Coturnix japonica: one gene and its partners. The protein of the gene in region 2 interacts with the protein of the main gene of each other region in a pairwise test. Links are inferred from orthologs where the notes say so. Each region holds a gene or a part of one and is shown on either strand. Other genes may lie near its edges.

Region 1 (2,161 bases), on a different chromosome or scaffold from region 2:
CTTGGGGTCTGAAAGCCCTACAGCCCTCTCTTTGGTCCTGCAGCCAAATAAGGGGGGGGTCCCCACAAAGACAGTGAGTTGTTCAGTCTCTCCGGCGGCAGCCCTGTCCCCGCCGGTGGCAACAGATTGAGGACACTTGGTTTTTGTCGCTAAAACATCCCACTGGGAACGGCGATGACGAGGGGAAGAGGGGCAGCACCGGCTGAGAGCCACCTCAACGCTTTGTGACCCTGAGGGGGGAACACGGAGCGTCCCTCCGTGTGCTGGGGGCCAGCCCAGCTCCGACTGCGGGCAAAGGGTCCCAGCAGAGTGTGGGGATCCCGCAGTCATTCTGAGGCTGCTCAGGGCTCAGCTCCCTTCGGGGACGGGCTCTGCTGCAGTCCTGGTATCGGCAAGGTTGCTCCCCAGTGGTGGAACTGAGTACCCCTCGATGTCCCCCCCCGTGTACCGCCCCCTTCCCCTCCCACGCTCCCGCCCCATAGATGCACTGGAGGCAGGGCGATGCTCCTCTTGTTTATTTCAGCCGCCGGCAGTCACGTACACGCGGTGGGGTGGGGGTGCGGTGGGGCGAGGGGTGGGGGCGCCGGCCCTGGCCCCCGGGCCTCTCTCCGGCTCCTCTCTCTCTTTGCCCCCTCTCTCCCACTCACTCACTCCTGCTCTTTCCTGTGTCCACCTACGGGTTTCCTCTCTGCTCAGCCAGCCCCATCCCCGCGCAGCCTCTCCCCCTCCTCCCCCGGACGGGGCTGCCTCTAGGGCAGCGTAGGGGGGGAGCGCAGAGCCCCGGCCCCCGGAGCACCCCAACCTCTCCCCGTCCCCGGCATCGCTGCAGCCCCACCCAGGAGAAACGCCAGCTCCGGGGCGAGCTGCTGTGCCGTGCGGGGAGACGGCTCCTGCTCCTGCGGGACCGCCCCCGAGCGGGGAGGGGGCTGCGGGGCGCGGGGGGATGCAGAACCCGCTGCTGGGACCCGAGGCCACCACCTGCTCCCCCCACCCCTTCCTGCTTGTCCCCTCCGTCCCTCTCTGCCGCCCCCCGGCCCGGCCCTGATCCTGGCGCTAGCTGCGAAGCCTTGCGAAGCCGAAGGAGAGAGCCCGGGGGTGTGGGGGGAGCCCGGGCCGTGCCCGGAGGCGGCCGTGTCGGGGGGAGTACGGGCTTGGGGGGGGCAGAAGGGCGGCTGGGCACCGGGACAGAGTCTTCTACAGCACCTCGTGCTGCTGCTGGGTCGCCTCGCTCACCACCTGAGGGAAAGGAACGTGAGATGATGCCATGTCCCCGATCCTCACCGCCCATCTGCCCCCCCCCACACACACACACAGCGCTCACCTCTCCATCACGAGTTTCGATGGTTTTGATCATCACTGTCTTCTTGGTGTGCACCTCAGAGCCACGCTGGTCTGGGCTGGTCTCTGTGGGGAAGGGGACACGGGGATGGCAGCGGCCACGCAGCCAGGTGGCATGGGAAGGTGGCACTGGGGCTGGGGCCGAGGGTTTCCAGGAGCCCTGAGTCCCCCCACCTCACCCAAACACCCCATGTGCCCCTCCTCCCCACCCTCCTCCCAGCTCAGCGTGCCATTCACGGGGACTCCCGAGGGCTCAGCCCAGCTCACCTCGGAAATTGAGAGCGGAGGCAAAGGTCTGGTGCATGGGGATGCTGATCCTGCACGGACACAGAGGGGAGAGCTCAGCACCAACCATTCCAAAACCAGGCCCCCCCCCCCATCGCCCTGCTTCCCCCTATAGCTCACCTGCTCTCCTCGCCCTCCAGCAGCTTCCTGTAGGTGGCAATCTCAATGTCCAGGGCCAGCTTGACGTTCATCAGCTCCTGGTACTCACGCAGCTGCCGGGCCATCTCATCTTTCAAGTGCCGGATCTCCTCCTCCAGCCGTGCAATGGTGTCCTGGTACCCGCCGGCCTCCCCTGCAAAGCGCTCCTCCATTTCCCTCATCTGGCGCATCAGAGAGTCGTTCTGGGGGGAAAGTGGTGTGTGTCAGCAGGGGGGTGGCACACAGAGCACCCCAAAGTCCTTCCTGGGGTTCGTTCCGTGCTGTCTATGGCTCACCGTGCCCTTGAGGGCATCGATCTCACAGGTGTAGGACTGGATCTGGTGGCGATACTCCAGCATCTCCTGCTTGGCCTGCCGCAGGGCATCGTTGTTCTTGTTGG
Region 2 (3,500 bases):
GTGAAACTAAGGGCTTCTAAGTCATTTCCTATGGAAAATCCAGAACCATCTGAACCAGACTCTTTCTATTGCTATTTTGCAGCTGCTGATCACACGGCTAATGTAAGCACAGAAACATTGGATTGCTTCCTGTGACAGAATTATGTGTCTTTTTCTACACAATATTTTCAAATCAATAATTTCATAATTGCTCAAAATCCCATTGCAGGCTTTTTTCCCCTCTTGGCAGAGGTGAGCAGTGATAAGCTTGTTGGATTTTGGCACTTGCTCTTGAAGTGAGAGGGAGACTAACAAAGATTCAACCAGAGAGGGTATGGCAGAACACAAAGCAGAGGACAGACATACATGGATTCATTGCTTATTTTCACTGAGCCGCTTTGTGTTGGTGGAAAAGTAAAATTGTTGGTTGTTAGTCACTGAATCTCTTATTTATTTCAGTTTGACAGTTCTCCAGGCATTAGAGGATGGACTGAAAAGAGCAGATGCAGATCCTTCAGTGAAAGCTGTTACAATTTGTGGTGAAAATGGGAAGTTCAGTGCAGGTAAGACATACCTTCAAACAGTATAAGAAAAAGAGGAAGAACTCTGCCATGTAACACTAATAACAAAATGCCACAGATTCTGATGTGGCTGAAAATGTCTGAAAAACAGTGAACCTTTTCTGCTGTCTCAGACTGATGTAGGACACATCACAGATTGGACTGTCCAGGCCAGAAATAAGCCAGTAGATTCATGCTGAAACAGGGAACAACTTCTCATCTTTCTATCTTGCTGATATGCTGGTGTCTCATGACATTGTATAAAATCTCAGGACCAAGAATTAGCCAATTATATAGACCCGTCTTGGGATGGGGCAGTTGTAACAGATCTCCAGTTGTAGAGATCTGTGAAGCTAACAGATTTCTGTGGAGTTTGACATTACCTGTAAGTAGCAATTCAGCTTCTCCAAACGAAATTTCTTTTATTTTTTTAAGCAAGTATCCTTGCAAAATACTGTCGTAATTGCATGATCATTACAGTTATGTACTCTTCTATTTTGCCATCCCTTTAGTACTCTGAATAGGCTTAAGGAGCCTGGGTTTCTTGCAGCTGGTCTCAAGAGATCATTGCCAGTTAATATGCCAGCAGTGTGTTCTTTCAGACCTCAGTCATCCATGAGTGGTGACGTTTAATGGCACCGAGGGAAGAGTCATTCCACTCACTGCCTCCTCCACTAATTCCTTTTCATCTTTGTGCTTCCACAGGCGCTGATATTCGGGTATTTTCTTCTCCAAAGAAGCAGGGTCTTGGCTTGGGCCCCATAATTTCTCTCATAGAAAGGAGCGAGAAGCCTGTTGTGGCTGCCATTGAAGGGATCGCCTTAGGGGGAGGCCTGGAGGTGGCACTTGGCTGTCACTATCGTATAGCACACGTGCAGGTAACACCATGAAGTAGAGAAGTTGGTGGGAAAATCTGGAGCCTGTGGCCATGTAAAGAGCGGGAGGCTGCTCCTGAAGAGCAGCTGAGCAGTGTGTCTTTTCTAATTAGAAACTTCAGAAACTGAGTATTAATTTGCACTCATTCTCAGTAGTCATTATCAGAATTCTGGGGAGCTGGCTCATGCAGTATGATTTCCTCTTATTTTCGTCCCCAGCCATGCGAATTTAGCATTTCTTTCTGCAAGTGGCCTAGTTTCAATAGGTGAAACTCAGCTAGCACAGAGCACTTACAATTTGATTCCTCTCGGGCTGTTTCCTCAGGGTGCACTCTAACCAACAGACAGCTTCCCCTCCTCCCCATTTAAGTCTTTCAAAATCATCTTTTTTTTGTTTCTCTCAAATCCCTTCCTTCAGGATTGCCCAGCTGTCTTTTAGCAGCACCTCATCTCCTTACAGAGACTCTTCCCTGACAGGAGCATCTCCTCACTTTATCAGAGCAAATCACTTTCTCCCTGACAACGTGGGTTGCTGTAACACAATGAAGAGACACTTTATATACCCTGCATGTGATCTAAGATAGGTGCCTGAAGTAGCGGTCTTAAAATAACCCCACATCTCTTAAGAGCTCAATTAGAAATGTACAATTAAAATAAATAAATAAACAAGCTGAATAAATATTGAAATTAAGATAGGAGCTGTCACTGGCTTCTTTACCATAACTTTAGTAAATCTCAAGTGCATCAAGAAGTACCTGAGCGTTTTTGAAAGATAGTGAAGTGTTCAGTATGCAAGTGTTTTCCTACAATATGTTTCTCATATATAAGGAAAGGAGACAGCAGGTCATGGAGATGCTGACAATTGTTTGTCTTCTTGAGCTGTGCAGCTGGAAGCATTGGTTTGCACATCTTGTGGTCTAGAGTGATGCTGTTGTCTCCATCAATCTCCTCCAGCATTGTGCTAGTACTCATACATCCACTGATGGATCATATCTCTTCTGCCCCTGTACATAAGCTCTTGAAAAAGTTGAGTGGGCTTCTGGGTTAAACCTCTCACACAGTAAAAAGCAGAAATGAGGGTTTTATGTAGTAGTTTTTCAAGGATTCCTAAAGAATCAAGTCTGATTGTTTTGTTCTGCTCAGTTCCTAATTGTTAGTCTTGTTAATCAGATTTGTTGTTGAATTTGTCTCTAATCTAGGCACGGATGGGTTTACCAGAAGTCACAATTGGGTTACTTCCAGGTGCTGAAGGCACTCAGCGGCTCCCCAGACTGATTGGGATTCCTGCTGCTCTGGATATAATTACTACAGGTAAAGTGCTGTGCCTTGCTCTGTATATAAGGATAACAGTGGGTCATGCCGTTGCTTTTGTCTAATGAAGCCTAATGTTTGTTTGTAAGGACATGGCTGCTTGAGTTGAAATTCAGCTTGGTTCTTCTAAGGATAGATTGATCAGATCAAAAAAAAAAAAAGAAAGAGTGAAGTCACATGCAACACCCCAGCTGTAATCGCCTTATTTCTCTCTTCATCACAGGAAGACATGTTCCTGCAACTGAAGCACTGAAGCTGGGCTTGGTTGATGAAGTTGTGGAAGAGAACACAGTTGAAGCAGCAATCCGTTTGGCAACCAAGTTGATTGGTGAGAATTGTAGCAATGCCAAGAAATAATTGGTGAGGCTGAAGAGAATTAGAACAAAGCCCATTAGCGTGTTCCAGCCTTCACAGTCCATTCATTGGGTTTTGGCATCCATACGAAATGGAATTAACAGCAGGATTTGTTTTCTGTTAAGTGAAAGTTGAAAATCTCAGATGCTGAAGAGCTGCAGAAATTTGGTTGAGGATTAAGTGGGAAAAAAAAAACAACAGAGTCCTCGTGCTTCTATAATTTTATATCCATGCTTTTCTGGACTACTGCACTCAACTGATTTTAGAGACTATGTGCTGTTTCTATACATAGTTTTGGATGATAGCTGGAATTGTATGTAGTCTGGTTGTGCCATCGATAACAGCCAATTGAAAACAACGTTCTCCCTCTAGTGGAGGGACTGGCACATCCTCAGCTGAACTCAGTGATCCACGAGTAACT
Region 3 (3,500 bases), on a different chromosome or scaffold from region 2:
GACAGGATTCCTGTTCAAGACAATCTTGCCCACCGGAATGAGAGGGTAGTCACTATGTGGCCAAATCTATAAGAGAAAATGCATGCATTAAAATAAATGTAATCAGTATTATGCAGCTTAAGTAACAAAACAGGCAAGTGCTGCTTAATAAAGTCTCAACTGAGAGAAAATACATTATTGAATTATTTCTTACTTCACTAACAGACATTTTGAGGAATTTGTCCTTTGAAATTCATATGGAGCATTTGTGCAAAATTATTGCTTCATGGCATAATCCCAGCACATGATTGCTTAAATGAAATACCCACAGGCACTTGAAGAGATGCCTAGGAATGCAGCATTGTATGTGGAACTGGTAGCATGATGGTTTTCTGCTACTAAGAAAAAGCAACTGGATAAACTAGCCTTACTTTCGTCATGCTGCAGTTTCAAGGTCAGAAGTATTTAGACATTTGGGGAGGGCAATATTTGAGGGGAAAAAAAAAAAAAAAGTAAATTTGTATTACTACCTTCCTAAGTGCCATTCTTTGCAACAGCATCTGGAAGTCTGACATAAAACAAGACCAACATCAAGACCACACAATGTAACTGTTTCAGCAAGGAAGAACAACAGAGATACCTTAGTCAAATCAAAAGGATTAAATGGGAACCTCTCTGCTTCTTCAAAAGTCATAACTTGAATGTAGAAAGACCAAGAAGGATAGTTTCCATTGGCTATGGCGTTGTAAAGATCACGAATTCCATAATCAGGATCAGTAGCAGCCAGCCTCCCTGCTTCTTCAACAGAAAGATTTTTGATGCCCTGATCAGTCTAAAAGGAACAAAAGCAGTAGAACCAGGTATGACATGCAAAAATTAAAGGAAATAAACAATAATAACAACAATGTGTTTTAACAAGACTCAAGAACTAAAAGCATGACTGTCCCAGTCTACAGTAATACCAGTCTGGGTAGCAATACAGCTGGCTACCAGGTAAAAGTGAGTTCTCTTATAAAACAGAAATAAATGTAATGCTATGCTACATACAAACAAACATGAAAATATGATCTCTACAGATCATAAGGTGAAGATATTTCTCCTTTCCCCCCATAGGATGGGGTGCTCCTCTACTGTCCCACCATATCATCTCTTCCCACAGATCACATGCCAAAATAAACTGACGGAAAGTTAGCAAATACTGAAAGTCTGAGATTCATATAGAATCTGTCTTTTTAAATATTCTTCTGAAATTTCTTTCTTCTGAAATTTCTCTGACATCCTCAACAGGAACTATAGTGCCATTTTAATAATCATCTGACAACTCAAGGACTAAAAGCTGCTATGCAGTTCCTCTTAGTTTAGAATAATGGTTTCTCAAGCCTTGCTTCAGGGGTAAGCAGCCAGGCTCCACTAACTGAAGTTTAACAAGTTAGGCAGCTCCACTGTCTTTAAAACAGGGAAGTTGTTTGCAAGTGGGATGTGCTACTGAGTTACTTCCCAACAAAGTAGGAAAGTTCTACAAGTTTCAGCCACAGATCTCAGAAAGAGGATTATACTCTTTGTCCTTGCATACGTCAGTGTAGTAGTTCTACAGAACATCCTCTACATATATTAAATGCATGCAATCGATTTGAAATGACGCGCACACAATATATATTAAGTATATGCACTAAGTAACTATCTTCTGAATTAAAGTAGAAGTAAAATACAGAGCATTCAGACAATCTTCAAGTGGAATTTAGCATAAATTCTACTTCCAATAGTTAAGTGGAGAAAAAGCACACCTTAACGTGGAATTTGCAGTAAACAGCTCCCCCACTAGCATTAACAAGTTTGAAAGTATGAGATCCATATCCATTCATGTGACGATATCCATCAGGAATACCACGATCACTGTATGTGAAAGACACCTAAAGAGAAGAATCCAACAATATTAGCTCATTTAACAGCTCAATTAAACAACCACTTGAAAGTAGGTCACTTATTATATCACTGTAAACATTTAGTATTAAATATTGTATCAACATCCTAGAGAAATTTAAGTTTCTAATAAACTAAGACTTCTTAGATTTTGCACATGTGTAAGGGTGGCTAACATAAAGATGTTAACAAAGATGATGGTGTAGATATTCAAAATTTATTAGCAAAGGAAAACTCACTAATGTCAATGCCTTGACCAGAAAGCTGAGGCAGTCTCCACTGGGGAGCAATCTCCAAAAGATGCTGCCTCAGTGGTGGTCAGCCCTTAAATGAGGTCTTGGAGGAGGAGGAGTTGAGGTTCACCCCTTCCAGGAGCACAGCTAGATTACTCTCACCTGTGCTCCCACAGCTGACCCAACACTTGCCTCAGCTGATTAATCAGAGCTTCAGGCTGTGATTACCAGTTTCCAATACAGCATGCAACAAGGATTCAAAGAGTTACACCCACTTTAAATATTAAAGGAAAAACACATCAACCTAGTGATAATGCTGTGATTTTCTCTATAACACAGAGCAAAAAAGCATAGATATTTAAATAGAAATAAGATTTTCTATAAAATAAAGAACACCTGAAATTTTAAGTCCTAAATAACAAACCCCTAAGTGTCTTTAGGCAACAAACATAGCACCAGCATTACTCAGAATGCTGTTTTTCTTCAGGTTTACAATCAAACAATGCTTGTTGTATCTCTATTCCCAAGCAGTAGTAACTGGAAAACTACTATATGAAACCATCTAATTTTAAAAAACACAACTGTATTTCAATTTTCTCTAGCTTTTCATATAGCATTCTTTTTCATATGCTGATACTAATATACAGGCTCATTGTTAATCAGCTCTCCCATGGGCTTAGTATTAAGGAAACATACAAACTTTCTTTCCATCTCTATGTAAAATATGACCACAGAAATGAGAGAAATCTAGCTTTTTCATACTCTTTTAAAGAAAAAAGGCAAAACTAGAAGTGCTAAAAACCTTAATATCAAAGGTATTAAAGGCCTTTGAACTCTACTGTGCCTAAAATATTATGTAGGCTTCCAGAAAAAAAGTTTCAGTTAAAAACATGCTGCCGTAATATGAAATTAGAAGAGAAGAGAAACTTACTTGATGCAAAGACTCAGGGCGAAGACTCAAGAAGTCCCATACCATATCTGGATCCTTCAAATGAGTCTGAGGATTCCTCTTCTGACTATGGATGAAGGATGGAAACTAATTTGCCCAGGGAAGAAAGGGAAGAGAGGAAAAAACAAGTTTTATTTCATATCCCCAAATACATGGTATACATGTACAAAACAAGATTGGCAGCTTTAGTCAACATTTTTAGCTATGAAAGGAACAAAACACTGGAGAAATAGAAAGCTTTAAGAAAAATCTTCTATTGAATTTTACTTCCTGCAATCAGATTTGTTACTCTAATTTTACTGATTTGACTATGAAAGCAGAATATTTACCATTAGAATAAACAGAATGTTCAAAGACAGAAAATGCTTTCAACTTCTGTCCAATGAAAGGCAAACACTCTTAACTTTGCATATGAACAC

Evidence for each region. The genes of interacting proteins can lie anywhere in the genome.
Region 1: the proteins of EHHADH (region 2) and DES interact in binary tests that used the Homo sapiens proteins (3 or more experiments, as listed by UniProt). The two-hybrid records come from large-scale screens. The link is inferred for Coturnix japonica from reciprocal best matches to the Homo sapiens genes EHHADH and DES.
Region 3: the proteins of EHHADH (region 2) and CAT interact in a two-hybrid assay, tested with the Homo sapiens proteins (2 studies listed by BioGRID, with this or other methods). The link is inferred for Coturnix japonica from reciprocal best matches to the Homo sapiens genes EHHADH and CAT.

Annotation. Positions count from the first base shown.
Region 1 is NC_029522.1:24,553,372-24,555,532, reverse strand, and holds the end of DES (desmin), read right to left. Parts: coding exon 2,058-2,161; intron 1,965-2,057; coding exon 1,744-1,964; intron 1,656-1,743; coding exon 1,606-1,655; intron 1,405-1,605; coding exon 1,322-1,404; intron 1,237-1,321; coding exon 1,195-1,236; 3' UTR 501-1,194; downstream 1-500. UniProt on the Homo sapiens protein: Muscle-specific type III intermediate filament essential for proper muscular structure and function.
Region 2 is NC_029524.1:2,564,206-2,567,705, reverse strand, and holds part of EHHADH (peroxisomal bifunctional enzyme), read left to right. Parts: intron 1-438; coding exon 439-542; intron 543-1,244; coding exon 1,245-1,417; intron 1,418-2,613; coding exon 2,614-2,725; intron 2,726-2,948; coding exon 2,949-3,053; intron 3,054-3,500. UniProt on the Homo sapiens protein: Peroxisomal trifunctional enzyme possessing 2-enoyl-CoA hydratase, 3-hydroxyacyl-CoA dehydrogenase, and delta 3, delta 2-enoyl-CoA isomerase activities. Catalyzes two of the four reactions of the long chain fatty acids peroxisomal beta-oxidation pathway.
Region 3 is NC_029520.1:6,151,039-6,154,538, forward strand, and holds part of CAT (catalase), read right to left. Parts: intron 3,169-3,500; coding exon 3,064-3,168; intron 1,890-3,063; coding exon 1,764-1,889; intron 812-1,763; coding exon 620-811; intron 67-619; coding exon 1-66. UniProt on the Homo sapiens protein: Catalyzes the degradation of hydrogen peroxide (H(2)O(2)) generated by peroxisomal oxidases to water and oxygen, thereby protecting cells from the toxic effects of hydrogen peroxide.